Linked DNA regions of Rhinolophus ferrumequinum. The protein of the gene in region 2 purifies or fractionates together with the protein of the main gene of each other region. This does not show direct contact. Links are inferred from orthologs where the notes say so. Each region holds a gene or a part of one and is shown on either strand. Other genes may lie near its edges.

The links. Proteins that work in one complex are often made in the same cells at the same time.
Region 1: the proteins of NOP56 (region 2) and RPL5 purify together in Homo sapiens (affinity purification with mass spectrometry; 3 studies listed by BioGRID and IntAct, with this or other methods). This does not show direct contact. The link is inferred for Rhinolophus ferrumequinum from reciprocal best matches to the Homo sapiens genes NOP56 and RPL5.

The regions. Positions count from the first base shown.
Region 1 is NC_046292.1:70,126,843-70,137,339, reverse strand, and holds the start of RPL5 (60S ribosomal protein L5), read right to left. Parts: upstream 3,959-10,497; 5' UTR 3,842-3,958; coding exon 3,839-3,841; intron 2,651-3,838; coding exon 2,581-2,650; intron 2,496-2,580; coding exon 2,380-2,495; intron 1,219-2,379; coding exon 1,084-1,218; intron 1-1,083.
Region 2 is NC_046306.1:24,886,640-24,896,768, reverse strand, and holds the start of NOP56 (nucleolar protein 56), read right to left. Parts: upstream 4,710-10,129; 5' UTR 4,602-4,709; coding exon 4,599-4,601; intron 4,445-4,598; coding exon 4,355-4,444; intron 4,005-4,354; coding exon 3,890-4,004; intron 3,348-3,889; exon of another isoform or gene 3,280-3,347; intron 3,121-3,279; coding exon 2,959-3,120; intron 2,786-2,958; coding exon 2,587-2,785; intron 2,478-2,586; exon of another isoform or gene 2,346-2,477; intron 2,213-2,345; coding exon 2,025-2,212; intron 1,943-2,024; coding exon 1,791-1,942; intron 1,600-1,790; coding exon 1,499-1,599; intron 1,437-1,498; exon of another isoform or gene 1,351-1,436; intron 1,133-1,350; coding exon 984-1,132; intron 915-983; exon of another isoform or gene 844-914; intron 754-843; coding exon 632-753; intron 586-631; exon of another isoform or gene 516-585; intron 446-515; coding exon 311-445; intron 1-310. UniProt on the Homo sapiens protein: Involved in the early to middle stages of 60S ribosomal subunit biogenesis. Required for the biogenesis of box C/D snoRNAs such U3, U8 and U14 snoRNAs. Part of the small subunit (SSU) processome, first precursor of the small eukaryotic ribosomal subunit.

The DNA.
Region 1 (10,497 bases), on a different chromosome or scaffold from region 2:
ATAGCTTTTTAATCTGCTACACGTCCATACTTGATTTATGCAACAATTGGGGATCTCCACATATTTTCAGTCATATTTGGCTAGAATTCAACAACTAAATATTAAATATTATCACATGCAGTTCTGAGTAGGATCCTGAGCTGAAGAGATCTTTTGTGGCTCTATTCTCCAACTATACTATTAACACGGGCCATTCTTCTGCTAGTACAATATCACCTAGCTATGGTTTCACAAGCAGTGCCTTTGTACCAAGCTGCTCTCATACATAATGACCTTGTTCCCCACCCCCACTCAAACTGGGTCCCCAACAATGATGCATGCTTAAAAATCCCACTGCAAAACCAGGTCAGTAATTGAGAAAAGAGTAAGGCAAAAGCACATTTTCATCTTTTCTACATGACAGGAAATGCTGCCACCCAGAGGGCAGAGATGATTAAAACAAAAAACCCCCACCAATGCCTGCCCTTCCCCCAAAATTTAAGATACTGCTTCTCAAAATGGAATTGGCCTATAAATCACTTGGACACCCTATTAAAATATAGAGATTCTGAGTATCTGGAGTAGCACCTGCATTTTAATGTTTGCTTGTAGATCAAGAGATCTACACTTTTCAATAGAAGGTAGCCACTTCAGTAGAAGGTGTCCAACAAGGTAGCCACTAACTAGCCACAAGTGGCTATTCAAATTTAAAAATTCGGTTCACCAGTAGCACTAGACATATTTCAAGTGCTCACAGCCACCTATGTCTACTGGCTACCATATTAGCATAGATTACAGATATCCACCAGTTGCAGAAACTTCTATTGGCCTAGATATACCCAACAAACCAGCAGATAGCAGAAAAACTGCTTCCCCAATTAGAAAATGCACTGCCATCTCAATCACAACCTTGTATGTATAAAACCACAACCTTCTATTTATAAAATCATCTTTCCTAGTGATTCCTAAAGAGTGCCACAGGCACTCGCTTGATTCTACAGCGGAGGGTAACTTATCCAGCTGTCAACATCTATCTTGCAGGTAACACCAAACTATGAGCTAAGCTAATTCCAAACACATCAATTACCATAATCCTGTACATACCCTGCGGGCCAGCAGCAGGCCAGTACAATATGCTGCAGCATAATTTGTCAGGCCAACCTTCACACCGTACTTGGGGAGTTCATGAGCATAAGCTGCACAAACTATCATATCTCCTTCTATACGGGCATAAGCAATCTATAATAAGAGAAACATCAGGTTAGTAATCTGCTTTCACTGTTTATTTGTCCTAAGTGCCTTCTTGTACAAAGGATTTGGAAAAAAAATAAAGACATAGATCTGTATCAATTAAAATTTGTCTTTGTTAAACCCACTCACCTCCAACTAGTTTATGGCTTGGTAAACTATAGCAGGTAACTTTGTGTCTGTAAATGTTTGATGACAGAGTAAGGCTAAAATTACCACATAGACATTGAATATTAAAATGCCTTTGGAATAAATTATACTGTAGCTCCTTACTTCTAAACACTGAAGACTCTTAGCTGGAGTAGCTGCTGAACTAAAGAGGTACTTTGAAAAGTCAAACGAATCCCCAATTATTTCAAACATCTTTTAAATTAAGCATATCTAAGTCCAATGTTTCCGACACCCAGTGTTCAGTTATCTGAACTCTGGGTATGGAAGAAGGCAATGCCTTCACAACCAACAAATGGTACGCCTGCCTCTTGCAAAGGCCCAACAAATCTCAAGTATAAAAATTTTCCCTACTTGTAAAAAAAAGCCTAGCAAATTGTGTTCTAGGAGAAAACTGCCACTTTTTGAAGGTTTTTATGTGGGAGACCCTCATACATAATTAAAACCCATTTCAACAATAAGCAGGAATAAGAACAATTCTGAGTCTAATTTAATCTTCACAAAACTACCAACCTCTTCAAAGAGCAGTGGGTATGTGGCATGTAAGACCATACTGCAAGTCAGGACTTAGTCAATGGCAAATTCTATTATTCTACTAGAATTGGAATGGGTAGGAACCTTCTACTTGCTCTCAAACGTATCCTTCCACCCCACCCACACCCACAAAATAGCACAGTACCATAAATTTCTCTAATCCTCTTCCCCCCCAATTAGAAAATGAATGGGATTAAACTGGGTCAAGACTGCTAAATATAGCTGATCTTCAGGTTTTTTTTAAAGTACCAACTTCCCAGGCTCCAATTTAAGACCCACAAAAAGGAAAAGAGCTACTCACTTACTCAATGGATGTTTCTGAGTGCCAGCCACTACAGTTGACGGACCTTCTAATCCATACATGTTTTGTTTCCCAAGTACTTCTCCAGCAAGGTGAGTTAAAGGGAGGTGGGGTTTACCATCACTGCTCGAGGCTAGAATGCAACTTACCTGGCAAATGATATCTCTGTTGGTTACCCGTACAATCATCCTATATTTGGGTGTGTTGTACTTATTTTTATCCTGGATTACCAAGCGTTTCCGGGCATAGTAATCAGTTTTACCCTCTGAAAGAAGAGAAAATAACTTAAAAGTCTACTCCACTACAAAGCAGATTCTTTTAATACTGTGAATATGAAAACCTGACCATACCACGGCGTCTTCTAAATTTCACTTGGTATCTCTTGAAGTAGGCCTTATTCTTGACGACTTTAACAAATCCCTTTAAGAAAAAAGAATGTTTATTGAAACTTGGATAAATGTTTTTGCTGATGATACTTCTGACATTTGAGCTGTAACAAATAACATTTAAACTTCAAAAGTGAATCTATAGACAGCTGTCACTTTTGTAGAATCCAGTGTTTCTCAAACCATCTGGAGTCAAGGGATCACTTTTTCTCTTACTTTCCTGTCAATGCTGGTAACAGAGTAAAAACGAATCACTGGGGAAAAATGGAAATGAACTAACATACGAAACACAGGCCAATGTCTTATATTTTCCAAAATTGTCATTGTTTTAAAATTTTTGAATGCTTCCTCTCAACTCCTGTAGCTCACAGACCAACACCAATCCTTGTGCCAAACTTTTGCAAAGCCCTGCTCCAGACAGCACTAAATCTTGCCAAACGTCCATCTGTTCTGAATACTGTCCCATTTCGAAAAACTAACCTCCTATTTCCCTAACTTTCCACGGACGGACGTTTTTAAAAAACCTAAATTACTTGCCACAAACCTGAACTGGCCAAAATCATTTTCAGCAATTACTCCTGATTAAAACAGCACTGTCCCCCACCAACGCAGCAACACCCCACCCCAAGAATCATTTAAAACCGATGCCAGCGACAGTCTATAAAGAGGCAGGAGGCGCATACCAAAAACTAAATGAGCTTCGTTTCCGGGCCCAGAGACGCCACGGCCTCCAAGCTCTACTGACGGTTTTGGCTTAAAAGAGACTTCTTCAGACCAACAACACAAGCCTTTCTTAAACCCCCGCCGACCCCAACGCTCTTCCGGAAGACCCACGGAGCAGCCAGGGATGGAGCTGGGTCCGAGAAGCTGCAGCCCGTCTCCACTCAGGCATCCCCTAGCTAGCATGAGACCAATGCAATCTCGCCTGCCCGGGCCCCCTCGAACGGGCCGGCACTATCCCCGCAGCCTGTCTACTAAACTCAGCCTCCTCCTCAACCCGCCGCCCCAACTCCTGCTTTTCTTCAATCGCCTTCCTCTCAAGCTTGCGCGCCGGGCGGCAGCCATTAAGACCACGCTAGGAGCCGCAGTCCGACCAGGGCAGAGCCGGCAATCTAATGCCATCCGCCTCCTGCGCCATGCGAGACCGACCCTAGGCTGGCATTAGAACAAAGAGAGGGAACCCCCGTCCATCTGTAGCCTCGAGATCGGGATACCCACTCACCATCCTGGTGAACAGAGCACCGCGTCCGCGGCTCACCAGAGACCTGCAGGCCCAGCTCGGCTCCGGGGGAGAAAAGACCGTAGCCTATGCGCAGGCGCGGTATGTAGCGCCGGCGATCACGCGAGCGACGTGTGAGAGAGATCCGCCGGCCGGCTGGCGTCAGGCATGCCGCCCCCTGCTGATAGGAGGACCCATGCCGCATTTCTCCTTGCCCGGAACAAATCCTTAATGATCCGACAGGTGTGGACCTTGAGCAATAGCAGGGGGCATTACATATAGGAGGCTTTCACTTTCCTATGTTAGGAAGTTTTTTCATAACGTATATTACTTTTGTAAGCAGGAAAAAGCTTAAAAGTTAAATAGAATGAATTCGTTCTGGAGCTCTTTTGCCCCCTCCAGGACTCCACCTCCTGGACTACGCATCCTGGTCCAGAACATTGGGTCCAACCCAGGAAGCCTTGCCTTCGTGCTCCAAGCCTGGGTTAGAAGCCCCTTTTCTGCCTTCCCATAGTACCTTCGTACCTGCTTCGGCCCACTCCAGATTGTAAACTCCCTGAAGGTGGGCCTGCTGTCAAGTTCGCCTTTGAATCTCCAGTACCTACATAGCACGGTGCTGACATTCAGTCAGTGCTTGGTATTTGTTAAATGGTAAGAGAACTATTGCTCTCTCCTTCCTGCTTCGTTACCGCCATCTTCTTCCCCGATCCCTGACCACCTCATTCCGTTTGTCTCCTTCCATCGCTCTGATCTAGTCAGCTTAACTGTTTTAAACATGTTTAAGTCCTTTTAAAAATTCTTTTAAAACTAATTGTAAGTGGGGAATAAGTCATTTTCTTATTCTCCACATGGAGACGGAGGAGAACCAATCAATCAAACAAACAAACACCTCAAGAGAAAGTATTCCCTCACCTAACAGTATTTCAAGGGTGGTCTTTGGGCTATTGCATGGGAATTATTTGGGTACTGGTTAAAATGAACATATATGAATAGCGTCCTCTACTGAATCAGACTCGCTGTTCTGCGGACTGGGAATCTGCATTTTAAATTTGGCCTCAATTTTAATTCAAGAGGTCTCGGGAAAGTAGAAAACAAATCCTATTTTGCCCAATAATGGAATTAACTGATTCTACTAGGAAAAGCAAATTACGTAACAGCACAGCAGTTTAAAACATTGGCATCCTCAGAATGAACTTGAACTCTGTACCCCCACCCCAATGATAAGCCTGCTCTTGGAAAATGGGTGTGCATGAGTTTAACAGGAAAGAATCAGTGTGTCAGAACCGGGAGGAGGATCTGCCAAACAAGATGACAAGGCTAACTGGTTCCAAAAAAAAAAACTGCTGCTAGAATAAATCAGAATTATGCTGCCAATTTATTCTGGTTTCAATTTGTAAATCCTTATATAGCCAGAAAAATGTAGCTTGAATCCACTCTGGCCAATGTCCGCAGAGCCCGCAAAAAGAAATGTTAAAACAATTCTCACAAGCAAGTGTGGTTCAATCTTTGTTGAGGGGCTTTTGGAAATGTAAAGGCATACAATTTGTTTTTACAGAAAATACTTAAGTTAAAGACCTTCATTTTGGTGGTTCGAGTTATTAGCCAATGAAAGGTGCCACATGTCTTGGTCAGGCACTGCTTGTATTGGAGGTGGGAGCATCAGGAAGGAAAGTCTGTATGGAAATAGGCCCACCCCTAAACTTTGCATGTTTTAGGGCAAGAGTACATACTCGCAGGAAGACCCACATACCATCCATCTGAATATTTAGAAGTTATGAATCAAGTAACGTATTGTTGAATTAAATGTTTTATTCTCCTTAACCTGCTTCTTCTTACCTTACAAATATGTATAACAACAAAATTAAAAATATATGTATCTATTCCCCTTGGTTGCAGCTGGAGGGTTGTGGCTAGTATGGCTGACACAGCCAGTGTAGTTGGTGACACTAGGAGCCAGGGAGAATTTGTCCAGCACCTTCCACCAACTAATCTTGCTCAAGTGGTAAAAGTTAAAAATCACCAGTACTGGGACAAGTCAACTTTGTGTTCCTCATGAGATGATATACTGAGAAGAACACAGAAGCACTTTGTGCCAAATTTATCTAATCTAATCTAATTACATAGTCTAGCTAATCTGATACATGATGAAACTGCAAACAAACCCAAATTGAGGGACATTCTACAAAGTAATTGGTCTGTATTTATGACAAAATCATGATAGATAAAGAAACGCTAAAAAAATACTCCAGATTGAAAGAGACCAAAGTGACATGACAACTGTACGCAATGTATGATCTTAGATTGCATCCTGGACAAGAAAGGAAAAAGAGAAAAAGAAGGCTTTTTATTTCTTTTGTGTAAATGACGTTCTCAGAACAATCAGTGAAATCTAAATGGAGTCTGTAGATTAGATGGTAATAATAGATCAATGTTAATTTTATTTTGATAGATACACTATGGTTATGTATGAGACTGCTCTGTAGGAAATACCCTCTGAACTATTTTGGAGTAATGGGTATTATTTCTGCAACTTACTCTCAACAAGTGACTCAGATAAAAGTTACATATGTGTGTATAAAAAGAAAGAAAACAAGGCAAATGTGTTAAAAAGTTAACAATGAGTAATCTGGGAGAAGGGTAGATGGAAATTCTTTGTACTGTTCTAAAACCAATTTGTGATTTTGAAATTATTTCAAAGTGAAAATAAAACATTGAGTCCTATTGGAATGTGAAATATATCTTTTATTATTTGAAATGAAAGTCAACTTAGTGTTATCAGATATGTCAAACATATGTTATAAATAGAAAATAATTCAGTAATTTTTAGTTCTGGTAGTGATGACAATACCAATATATGAAAAGATTTCTCTGATGTTACCAATATGATTTTGAAGTACCTACTTACTACTCTGATCAGCAGGTTTTGTATTGAAACCACCAACTTTCTTAATTATAATCAAAAAGCATCTTGTTATTTCAAAATATCTTTTTCTTGGGCGGCCCTGTGGCTCAGGTGATTGGTGCACTGTGCTCCTAATGCCTAGGTCGCCGGTTCAATTCCTAGATGGGCCAGTGAGCTGCACCCTCTACAGCTAAGATTGTGCACAACGGCTCAACCTGGAGCTGGGCTGTGGTGGGCTGCTGTGACCTGCCAACCATCAGTCCACTGACTGCCTAGCAAGGCTCATAATACCAACATGGGCCAGGGAGCTGCGTCCTTCACAACCAGACTGAGAACAACGGTTTGAACTGGAGTTGGGGGTGGGGGGAAAGAAAACCTAAAAAAAAAAATTATATATATATATACACATATACACACACACATAATATATCTTTTTCTTTGCAATTGGTTTTTGCGTTACATTAGTTTCTGGTTTTACATCTACATGAACGGTAGCAAATAGAGTAAACAACTTTATGATTGGGTCCCCTTTGTTGATATTAATCCATTAGAAACATTTAAAACTTTTTAAACCTGTACTTTTATCTAGGAAAAAATAATTAGCCCTCAGTGAAGAATAATCTTCGTTTCTTAAAGAAAAATGTGTAAAGCTATAGTTTTTAATGGGACCAAGAGTCAGCAGAATATCAGGACAACCATAACTAAGATTAAGCATGTCTGGGTGTTCTGTTGCTAGGCTACTGATGAAAAACACACAATTCGTAAATTATATTTATTCCATAAAAGTTTCTCTTTGTATCTTCATTTCAGCAAAATTTCTATGATGTCGTCACCAAGAGATCACATCATTTGTGTTCTACAGATAGTAATGCCAAATTAGACAACCTTTTTTGGGTCATTGTGGTTCTTAAATAATTTGTATTGTCAATTAGGAGAAATTTTGCTGGGATGAAGCAAGAGAAACTGGATTTTAAATAAAATTCATATCTAAATAAAATTCAGTCTAAGCAATACTTAGATTTGAAAATGAACCATAATTTTTACATGTCAAATTCAAACTGTATGGTGTCATATATTATAAATTATTGTTTTCACAGAAACTATTGCTAGATATTTTGATATTGTCATATAAATCACTGTCATTTTTATTGCGATTTTTCTCTGTCTCTTACAGTAGTGTAGTATCCACACACACAGGTTTTGTTATTCTTCCAACATTTAAATGCTGATGTATGGTAAAGGAAAACAAATAACAACAAATAACAATATGTTGCTCCATTTCTTCAAATGTCTTTTCAATCAGACTATACACTGATCTATCAGGGTCAGGAAACCATCTCTATAGACATTAGTATTAGGTTTATTTATTTCTTTATTTAAATTTATTGGGGGTAACATTGGTTGTTACAATTATACAAGTTTCAGCTACATAGTTTTTTTTTTTTTTTTAAGATTTTATTGGGGAAGGGGAGCAAGACCTTATTGGGGAACAGTGTGTACTTCCAGGATTTTTCCAAGTCAAGCTGTTGTCCTTTCAATTGTAGTTCTGGAGGGCGCAACTACGCCCTCCAGGTCCAGTTGCTGTTAATTGCAGGGGGCGCAGCCCACCATCCCTTGTGGGAGTCGAACTGACAACCTTGTGGTTGAGAGGACATGCTCCAACCAACTGAGCCATCTGGGAGCTTAGTGGCAGCTCAGCGGCAACTCAGCTCAAGGTGCTGTGTTCAATCTTAGTTGCAGGGGGCACTGCCCACCATCCCTTGCAGGAGTCAAGGAGTCGAACTGGCAACTTTGTGGTTGAGAGCCCACTGGCCCATGTGGGAATCGAACCAGCAGATTTGAAGGGCAGAAAAATAGACACAGACCAATGGAACATAATTGACAGCCCAGAAATAAACCCACACATATATGGACAACTAATTTTCGACAAAGGAGCCAAAAACATACAATGGAGAAAGGAAAGCCTCTTCAATAAATGGTGTTGGGGAAACTGGAAAGCCACATGCAAAAGAATGAATCTAGACCGCTATCTGACACCATACACAAAAATTAACTTGAAATGGATTAAAGATTTGAACATAAGACCTTAAATAATAAAATACATAGAAGAAAACAAGGCACTAAACTTATGGACCTTGGTCTGAGAGAGGTTTTCATGTACTTGACCCCAAAGGCAAGTGAAATAAAAGCAAAAATAAATGAATGGGATTACATCAAACTAAAAAGCTTCTGCACAGCAGAGAAACCATGAACAAAATAAAAAGGCAACCAACTGCATAGGAGAAGATGTTTGCAAATGATAACTTGATATGGGGCCAATATCCAAAAATATGTAAAGAAATCATACAATTCAACAACAACAACAAAAACCCCAAACAATTTAATTAAAAATTAGCAGAAGACCTGAACAGACACTTTTCCCAAGAAGACATACAGATGGCCAATAGATGTATGAAAAGATGATCAACTTCACTAGCTATAAGGAAAATGCAAATCAAAACTACAATGAGATACCACCTCATGTCTGTTAGAATGGCTATTACCAATAAGACAAGAAATAACAAGTGTTGGAGAGTGTGGAGTAACAAATGTGGAGAAAAGAGAACTCTCGTACACTGCTGATGGGAATGTAAATTGGTACAGCCATTATGGAAAACAGTATAGAGGTGCTTCCAAAAATTAAGAATAAAGCTACCATATGACCCAGCAATCCCTCTTCTGAGTATCTACATGAAAAATTTGAAAACATTTATTTGTAAAGATATATGTACCCCTATGTCCACTGCAACATTATTTACATTAGCTAAGACATGGAAACAACCTAAGTGTCCTTTGACAAACAACTGGATAAAGAAAATGTGGGATATATATACAATGGAATACTACTCAGCCATAAAAAATGATGGAATGTTGCCATTTGCAGCAACATGGATGGATCTTCAGAGTATTATGCTACATAAGTGAAATAAGTCAGACGAAAAGGACAAGCACCATGTGATTTCATTCATATGTGGTTTATAAAACAGAAAGCAACAAACAAACAAACAAATAAAACAAAAAACGTAGACACAGACAACAGTATGGTGGTTACCAGAGGGGAGTGGGAATGGGGGGGAAGATGAAGAGGGTAAAGGGGTCAAACATATGGTGACAGAAGGGGACTAGACTTTGGGTAGTAAGCACACAATACAATATATAGATGATGTCTTATAAAACTATATACCTGAGGGTGGGCCTGGTGGCTCAGGCTGTTGGAGCTCCGTGCTCCTAATGCCGTAGGCTGCTGCCCTTCACTTTGAATCTATATTTGTTTTAGTAGCTTAGTACCTCCTAAAAGTAATATATAGTTGGGTCTTATTTTTTAATCCTACTCTGTGCCTTTTAGGTGGTGCGTTCAGTCCATTTACATTTACATTTAGGGTAATTATTTATGTATGAGGACTTCCTACAGCCATTTTATCTTTTGTTTTCTGGTTGCTCTGTATCTCCATTGTTTCCTTTCCCTTGTGTTTCTGTCTGCTGTTTTAATTTGGTGGTATTTTGTTACTTTTTTCCTCTGTTTACTCTTTTTTTTTTTTTTTTTACATGTCTCAGTTCTGAATTTTTGTTTTGTGGTTACCATTAGTTTTATGCAAAAAAAAAAAGTTTCATATATACAATAGTCCTTTTTCTTTGATTTCATCTTATCTTCATTCACCTGTGTAAGTTCAGTCCTTTTCCCTCTCCCCTTTTATGTTTTTATTGCCAGAAATTATCCCTT
Region 2 (10,129 bases):
TCACTACAAAATGCTACCACCTCTACCTCCGAACACACCGCGGAGAACAAACAGCAGGAATTCACACTACCCCCGTTGAGGACTCCTGGGAGGCAGCCGAGGACAACACACTTGCCCAGGGAACCAGTGCTACAACCAGCTCTCTGGGCTCTCAGCACCTATCTCCTTCCTATAGAATCAAGAGGCAGTTTTAGCTATTTCAGCCTTGACTCTGGACTAAAGACCATGGCTCTGAGGCCACAGATCCTTTGTTCTGCTGTTGAAAACCATACAACCCGGCTCTTCACATAGGGCCAATCTGCCTACTGACCTCACACTCCTCCGGCGTACTACTATTTTCTGAAGATGCGAGGGCAATTGCAGCCAACCGTTTCTTTTCCTTCTTCAAGCGTTTTTTCTCCTGTTTCTCCAGCTTCCTAGTAATCTCGGCAGCCGCTTCCTCAGCCTGGCCAAAGAAAAGTGCTGAAAAGGCTCTGAAGAGCTCTGGCCCTCCAGACCTCCCACCTGGCTTTTTTGGATCAGGCTCATTAAATCAGTTTTTTGCCTCCACCTACAAGGTCAGGCTAAGATAGTTCATCACCTCCAACAGTCAGCTATGGTTCTCCCCCAACCTAGCAAAGCCTGAACTGACCTGAACCATTGCCTCCTTCATGACCTCCAGATTCTTTCGTGGAATATCTCCAGTCTCATAGAAGGACAGCCGTTCCTCAACTTGTTCTCGAAGCTTCTCCCCAAAGACACTTGTGGGCACCTCTGGATGTTATGTGTGTGGGTAAACAAAACCTGTCAGCTCCTAAAGAGACAAACTACTCCCCACCCCGAGTACTTCCTTTACCCTCAGCTTCACTCAGACCCAAAATATCAACACTCACTAGGTGAACTGCTGTTGACGAAAAATGTTACCATCATTGTAGAAGCTACGGTATTCAGCCTCCCCTCCCTCCAAGCCCCTTTCTCACAAATGCCAACTCCTCCACCCATACCAGAAAAGCAATCAATTCGTGAGGCAATACTGCATTTGTTTGCCAGGTATCGGGAGATGCGGCCTTTGTTCTTGGCAGCTGCTCGGCCAATGAAGGTGGAATGGAAAATGAGTCCGTATTTTGGAGTGTTACCCCTTGTCTTCAGGGCCCTGGGAGAAGAATATTCAGTGGACAGTTTAAGATCAGAAATTTCAACCCTATTCGCCAAGGCAGCGCCTCCCCTCCCCTTTGCTCTCAGTCTCCAGAGTGAGCCTCAGGCTGGGCTGGGTCTCTGTCCCATCTCTTGCCAACCCACAGCTCCCAGAGGCAAAGGGAAGGCATCCAATGTCGCTGACCTGGAAACTTGGTCCCTTTGCTGGGCCCTGGGAATCACTCAGACACCAGGACTGGCCATCACCCCCATAGCAGAGGCCTGCATAGGTCAGGAAGCCCTGGTCAGCCATCATTGTGATCCCCAAACAAGCAGTGGGCACCAGAAGTGGCACCTGAGTGTGGGCAGGTGCCCTCACTGGTACCTGAACAGGGCCTTTTCAGCCCCAAGGATCTGCACTGTGGATGCTGGATACTTGGCCAGGTTGGTGAGGCTGCCAGCATGAGCAATGAGACGTGCGCCTACCTAGAGAAGGATTCAAGGAATCAGTCACAGAAGCTGGAATGGCCAACCTGCCAACTGCACAATCCTGCTTCACCTCCCCCTGACCCCCCTTCAAGGGCAACCGTGGAAGACATGGCAGGTCAGGAAATACAGCAGTACAGATATACATGGTAACATTGCTCAATCCCGTTTTTTCATTCTCCACGACGCACCGCTTCCCCAATTAGGGCCGACAGGCTGGGGGCTACTTGGCTCATCTTGGATCGCAGGTAAGTGTGCAGGCTCTGGCGGTACTCTGACAAAGACACCACACGACTGGAGAAGCTCTCGATGTTTATCAAGTCGATGGCTGATATGTCCATGCCTGAAGGACACCAAATGTGAATGCAGGAGCCAGATATTCAGAGCCCTGTATCTTACTTTGGCCGCCAGGCTTTGGTACTGACCCATGGAGGACCGCGAGGCATCCAGAATAGCTTTAGCTTTGGCCCCATCCATCGTCAGCTCTTCCAGCTTCTCCAACTTTTCTTCATTCAACTCTTTTCGGTTCCCAATGAACTGAGCAACGCGGCAGTAGGTAGCGTTGTCACTGATGATCTTCACCAGCTCGGGAAAGTGATATCCATACCACTCCCTGCAAAGAGCCCAATCTCTCCCTCACCCAGCTGCCATGTCTCAAATAAATAAAGCCACAGCCTCAGTTGTTTTCACAACTACTCTTTGCCGGGAGGAAGTGGGAACAAGTCAGATCCCAAACCTCCTCAACTCCATGTCTCCCCATTCACAATACAGACCAGGTAAAGGGCCTGGGCTGAGGTGTATATGAGGTGGGTTTATTCTGCCTCCTCTTTCTGTACAGTCAGTGTAAAAACACAGCCTGTGGTAAGCACCGGGAGGCCCAGCCCCACCCCACAGTTCTACCCATAGGAGCCAGTCCTCATCTCACGATTCAAAACTAGCTAAACCACAGGCCACAGCCCCGTTCTCAAGGGTTGCCCCGTACTTTACCTGACACGCATGGAGAAGGTGTTGATGTCCTTATCTAGCTGGTCCAGGAGGCTAATGGACTGGATAATCATATTGTCCACCCGGTTCACATTAAACTTAACTTTGGCACGAGAATAGCTGTGTCCCAGCCCCAGCTGGGCTTTACAAGCAGACAGATCGGTCAGCCCCTTCACCAGGTTGTGGAAGTGCAGACGAACTCCTGGAGGAGGGCAAGACTATGAGCAACGAAGGGCTCTGAGCTAGCTCCTGCACCCATGCGCACCAGCCAAGCAGGAGGACTTACCAGAAGCAACTTTAAGCTCCCTAATATGTTTCCGGAACCCCCTCAAAGATGTCAAGAATGGCATGAATGTTAACAGATAATTGTCTCACCTCGAAGGATTTCGGCTATCACGCCTCCAGTCTGGCAGTTGTACCCTAACTCTTCTTGTATAGCAGCACCAATCTTGGGGTCCCCAACCCCCAAGAGTACTTTCTTCTTTTTGGATGGCAAGTGAGTCTCCAAGAGCAGGCGGAGGTCCTCATGAACAACACCTCAGGGCAAAAAACAGAGCTCCCACTAACAGATTGAAGGATGCTTAAACCATAAAAGGGATCCCGTGTCCTCAACTGCTGATTAAGTGACAGACTGTTCTTACATTGGTCCAGCAGAGCATGCTGGGAAGGCATGCCTAGACCCCTCCCCTTCAGGCTTTGCTCAGAGACATGGAGACATCAGTGATTGCACTCAGGGGATTGACAGACTCAAGTCATCACTGCAAAGCGTGAATGGGTCACGGGAAGAACAGGACTCAGGTCCAATAGTACAAGGTGAAACGCATAACTGAAAGCTCAAAGCACACCCCTGAGCACCATCAACTACTAAAGTATTTAGCTCCAGATTTGCCTTCTGGGACCAAACCTTTTTCTTGGCTTTCATGTATGAAAAATGCTCTTTCCAATCAATTAAACCAAATAGTAGAGAACCACTTGTAAAGGTTTAGCACTGAACCAGTACCACCCCCCCCCCCCCCCCCCCCCCCCCGCCATTGCATTTGAGAATCATTTATCACTAGAGTTCACAGGGTAAGACTGCATGCTGGATTGTGTGCTTTAAATATAACATTCAGACCAGGAGCTCTGAAAGACTATTTTAAATCACATCCTGTACACATCAAATACCATCCAAAACATAATCAGATTTAGAATAAATTAGCCGAATAAAGGCAAATACTATCATCAACTCCCTAGGAGAAGAACTATACAGTAGGAGGAACTATATCTCTGCTTAAATCTCTGCAATACTTGGAGGTGGCCGACTCACCTTCAGACACAGCGTTGGCATTTTCCAAGGCAATCTGGGACGAGGCAAAGGGACTAAAGGCCACGAGACGAACGAGGTTGTGGAACTTGCCTAAGTTGAGCACGCACTCCTCCACCTGGGGGTAGAAAAAGGATGGGAGGTTCCTTCCCGCGCTGTCGCCTCTAGGGCGCAGTAAAGCAACGGTTCTCAGCCCTGGACGTATATAAGAACCAACTGAACACTTGAAGAATGAACCGATCGATTATTTGGCCCTAAATCCCGGTTCTTCTTCTTGGATACTGAGTGGAGGGCCGGACGCTTACTTCTAAATGGTCCTAACGCGATTCTAGTCTCGAATGCAGGTAAGGAACCCCTGCTCTGGAGCTTTCAGGCTCAGCGCACCCACAACGCGAGCGGCCGGCCACGTGGGAGCGCGCAGTGCATGCTGGGGACCGTGTGGCCCGCAAGCCCACCGCTTCCACCCACCTGCGGCAGCAGCAGGCTGATCTCCTCCACCTCCTTCAGCGCCAGCAGCGCGTAGCCAACCGCGTGCTCGAACAGCACGTGCAGCAGCACCTGGAACGGGAGTCAGGGCGCCAGCGTCAGCGTCAGCGCGGTCCCCGCGTTCATCTGGCCCCGCTCCCAGGGCAGGCTCCGGCCCTGGCTCTGGTCCGAACCCAGGCCCAAACCGCGGCCTTCTCCTCTCCCGCACCCCACAACCACTCCTCACCATGGCGCCCGCTCCTGGCCCGGCTCGCAATGCGGCGAGTGGGCTCTGGCGCGCAGAACCAGGCTCCGGAGGCCACGCCCCCGCGCCGCCGGCCAATCAGAGGCTGGGGACGATACCTTTCCGGCTGTTCGGAGGGGTCCGCGGGATGGTATCGCCTTAGCTTGGATGGCAGTGGAGGTGGCGCGAGCGCGGGCAGGGTGGCCTTTTCCGGCCTCAGCAGCGGCGCGAACTGACGCAGTTGCCGCGGACGCGCGGGCCGGGGCCGGGCCCTGCAGGCCGCAAGACTGGACGGTTTGGAAAAACGCTTTTCTGGATGATAGTGCAGGCCCTAATTTTTTTCATGATATAAATTCCGGGCCGCAAGGCTAAGGTGACATCGGTCTGGAGGCCCCGCGCTAGTCGCGGCCTCCGTTCCCAGATAAACTTGCCGAGCCCGCTTTCCGCGGCGCCGGTGACCTCAGGCTCCAGACCCCCCCGGCTCCCCGCATCCCCCAAAACCCCTTTCTTCCCGCCACTTGGGGACAACCCTCCCAGAGCCCCATGGCCGCGCGCCTTTTCCTCCTCTTGGGGGACGGAAGCGGGACCTGGGGTGCGCTGACGCAGTCACTCCTCGTGGCTGATTTTGTGTTTTTAAGTTGTATGTTATGTATTATTTTTTAAAAATGATGGTGGCAGGCGATAAAATAGAAAAGAAAGACGATTCCACGTCTTCTAGGTCAGTTTCTCCTTCCTCTTGAATAGAACCCAGCTCCTTTGCCGGGACCATGTGTTGCTCATCCTGTTGAAGGGCCCTTAAATCTGAACACCCGGTTCTCTCCGAGTGAACTGGAGCTGCTGCCTTGTGCACGAGGGTGGCTTTTGGAAACGCAGGCGACTTTCGAAATTACCTTTGCTTTAATAATTAATATTGAAACCTGGTTATCCTAAAGTAGTATGTATGCTGGTAAATTTAAAACAATCTTTAAGGGGATTTTTATAACTTAAATTCCTATAACTAAAGTACACTTACAAATGTAATATATTCTTTCTTTTTAAGCAAGTCAGTTACTTGACAAAAATCCGAGTACTGAGCTCACTCTTAAAACCCAACATATTAAACTTAAAAATATGTTGGTAAATCTTAAAATCTCATAATCTCAATATTGCTTGCAAACATGGTTAAATTCTGTTATATATATATCCACTTACAATTATGAGTCTGAATCAGTTCATTTCACATTTAAAAATGGAATTGCAAAAATAATCTGTAATGTTAAATTCTCTTAAACATTATAAATACCAAATTAAATAGTTGGCTCCTCAAATATATGGTGATGGAAGGAGAACTGACTCTGGGTGGTGAACACACAATGGGATTTATAGATACTGTCATACAGAATTGTACACCTGAAATCTACATAACTTTACTAACAATTACCCCAATAAACTTGAATTAAAAAAAAAAATAGGTGGTTCCAAAATGTGATGGAGAATATTAATGCTATGCCTTTGATTTACTTCATTATTTCTATACTTAATCCTAAATATTCCCGGAGTTACCAGTGCGTATCTACTAAGGTAGGAGTTTTCAAAGAAGTCAGAGTCCTTTAGGGGATTGCAGAATTAATTTAGACATTCTTGGCCAGCATTAAAAAAAAACACAGGATGAATGAGAATAGGAAATAATAGTACGTCACATAGAGTAAGGGTATTGATTTGTAAAAGTTTTGTCTCGGGTAAACATACACATACACATATGTATATAAATATACACATAGTATGTGCATGTAGAAACATGTACACACACATATATACATGTATATACATATATATATGTATATATACATAATGAAACACATTTCTGTGGATTAAATACAAAAAGCCGGAGGAGTCACTGAGCTGAAAGCTAACCAAGTCATATTTTAGATAAATGAGCATCTGAGTCTAAGCATAAGAACCAGGAGGGCTGATGTCCAAGGGGCGAAGATGGATGTCTCAGCTCAAGCAGAGATAGAACCAATCTGCCCTCCCTTCTTCACCTTTTGTTCTGTTCTGGCACTCAAAGTATTGGATGATGCCCACTCACATTTGGGCAGGCCAGCTGTTTTACTCAGTTCACCAATTTAAATACCTATTGCATGCCAGTTATCTTTCTAGGTGTAGGGATACAGTAGTAAACCAACAAGTCACTGCCATCATGGAGAGTACATTCTGTGGGGAGATGGAAAATCAAGTAAATATGTCATGTATCAGGTATTGATAAGTGTTAAGGAATCTTGCATTGTTTCACAGAGGTCCTCAGTGAAGAGGTGACATTTGAGCAGAGATCTTAAGCAAGGGAGTAAGCAATGCGGAGATCTAGGGAAATAATAAAGACAATGGTAATACTAACTCTTGACCTCTGACTTCAGAGATTTTGTAATCCAGGGAGACGGAACATAACCAAGTGCTGAAATGTAGTAGTATGGGAGGCTGACTGGAAGACACTTTGGGGGGAGCCTGGGCTCCTGAGGAAGACTTCAGGGCCAGAAGGGGTTTTACCCTGTTTCCCCAAAAATAAGACCTAGCCGGACAATCAGCTCTAATGTATCTTTTGGAGCAAAAATTAATACAAGACTGAGTTTTATATTTATATTATATTAGTGTTATATTAAAGACCCAGTCTTATTTTACTATAAGACTTATTTTACTATAAGACTGGGTCTTAAATTAATTTTTGCTCTAAAAGATGTATTATAGCTGATTGTCTGGCTAGGTCTTATTTTCAGGGAAACAACGGTAGGTATTTATGGAAGAGTGTGTAGGTCATTAAGATTGATGGAGGAAGGAGAGTGGAAGCAAAAACCAGAAATAACCTGCTAGAGGTGTAAGGTTCATCCTGGTCAGTAGTTGGACAAAGAACATGAAGGATCTAACATGTAAGACGCAGAACATAGGAAGCCTTGAATGAAGGCCAGGATGAGTGACTTGGGTCTGATGAGAGTCTTATTTTCCATCAAGCATTGGTTGATTAGAGATTAGTTTGGAGGTGATGTACAAGACAGATTTCCCAAAAAGTTCCAGCTGAGAAAATGACCTGCACGTGCAGCAGAGCTGAGGGGGAGCTGTGGGTTTCCCAGGCCTGTTCCAGACTCAAACTTTAAAGCCATGTGGCACCTGGGGCCTTTTCTTTCTCGGTAGATAGGACTATTCACCTATTGGGAAGGATCATACAGACACGGTAGCATCTATTCCTCTTTTATTTAGCCCCGTCTATGGCTCACTGTGTTATTTTGGTGTAAATTAACTCAGAATTTTTACTCTGAGCAATGGGCAACGCTAATGGAGACCTATAGAAACGGAATGTGCTACAGTCATGTGCCACATAAGGACAAACCTTATATATGATATGATGTGGTATACCAGATAGCGTAGGCTATACCATCTAGTTTGTGTAAGTGCACTCTCTGATGTTTGCACAATGATCAAATTGCCTAAAATTGCTTAATGACGCATTTCTCAGAACATATCCCCATCTTTAAACTGAGTATGATTGTGTTTAAACGCCAGTACTGGGCAGAGTTTCAGGAAAGGAAATTGCATGAAATAACCACAAGATGGCGGCACTTCATCCTCATTTTGCAAATGAGAAAACCGATCAAATTTGAAAGGCTCCTAGCAATTCCTCAGCCCTTTTCTCAAATGTGGAAAGAAACCCTGCAACAGTCTTTGGTAATGAGTTATACATATAGGCAACATTTCTTTCCATAGACACACAAGAATGAAAAGCATCCGAGGAATACCATCTAGGCCAGCGTTCCTTGTCTTTTTGGTTGCAGCTAACCACAGTCATGTTTTGGTTATGACTCTGAAGCCCAGAGTTGATTAGGATTATAGTGTAAAAGTTTTGTTTAGTTGATGCTGTTTGTGTTCATAACCGGAGGCTGAGGATGTTTGATCTTATCCATGCCTGTGATAATGTCTGTTATTTACCGATCACTTAGCATAATGCTTGGTTGGCACTTTGGGTGGGGCTCTATAGAGCATATCTGAAGTGACTTGACTAAATTAAGAATCACCAGTGTAGTGAATGCTGTTGGTACCCTGCCCAGGTCCCCTTACTGGCTGGTGCATCACTCTCAAGTTTCTGTGAGTGTACAAGTCATGGGGAGATCAGGGGTCCCCCTTGATCTTCACCGAAAGTGTGTTCCTGCTTATGTGAGTCTGTATGAAATGGAGCTCTTTATTAACACTGAGCATGTAGATTATCAGAAATGAAAGGATCCACCTGCAAAAATAGCTTCCGAAAGATAAAATTCAGTGTCTGTTTTATTTCCCCACAGTAAGGAGTATACAAACAAACTAGGGTAATATTAGTAAGACACCAGTTGTAATTCTCCGGATAAATTGTTAAATAGACTCCCTAGTTTAAATCATTCTTGGGTGACCTGAGGAAATAAAGAGAAAGGGTGAGGGGAGGAAGGAAAGTAAGAAGGAAGGAAAGAAGGAAGGAATGAAGGAAGGAATGAAGGTAGGAAGGAAGGAAAGCAGGAAGGAAGGAATGAAGGAAGGAATGAAGGTAGGAAGGAAGGAAAGAAGGAAGAAAGGAAGGTAGGAAGGAAGGAAGGGAGGAAAGATGATGGTCTTCATGCCTGATGGCCCCTGGACAGGCTGAATAGTGAAGTTTTAAGATGGAATGACCTGGAATGTCAAACCCAAGAACGCAGAGATGATAAACTTTAGACTGCTCTCTAATAACCTGTCCTAAAGCCGTACCACCCTTCCTCTCTTACCTCTACCCATCTCCCTAGCTCACTGGAAGTTTCCTGTTGATTGAGGCTCCTGGGAGCCACCATTAACTAATCCTCCGATGGACGTCTCTCAAAAAAAGCTTTAGAGTTGTCTTGATAGAGATCTTGTAACTATTTGAATTAGGAAATCTCCTGTTAAAATCTATCCAAAAATTGTTTGATAACCACTCCTTTCCAGGGATAAAAGCTAATCTCTTTCCCTTTGAGTGTGGGCTAAACTTCGTGACTCAGTTCTAATGACTAAAAAGTGGTAGAATTGATGGTGTAACGTCTGAGACTAGGTTTTAAAAGGCATTGTGGCTTCCTTCCTCCTTGCTCTCTCTCTAGGATCACTTGCTCTGGGGGAAACCAGCTATGTTCTGAAGACACCCCAGAAGCCCTATGGAGAGGTTCACATGGGAGTTAATCAGTCTCCTATTAATAGCCAGCAAGGAACTGAAGCCTCCTGCCAACAGCCATATGTGTGAGCCACCTTGCAAACAGATCTTCCTGCCCTAGTCAAGTATCCCGATGACGATAGCCCTGCCTGAGACCTGACTACAGTGTTCAGAACCACAACTGCCCAGTGAAGCCAGTCGCAAGTTCGCGATCCACAGAAATGGTGTGAGATAATAAATGTTTATTGTTTTCAGTTGTTAAATTTGGGGGACAGTTTGTTATACAGCAATAGATAGCAAATATATTCCCTCACATAAAATTATGCATCATCAAAACAGGATACTTTGTGTGTGTTTATGGTGGGTGTATTGATAGCCGTCAGAA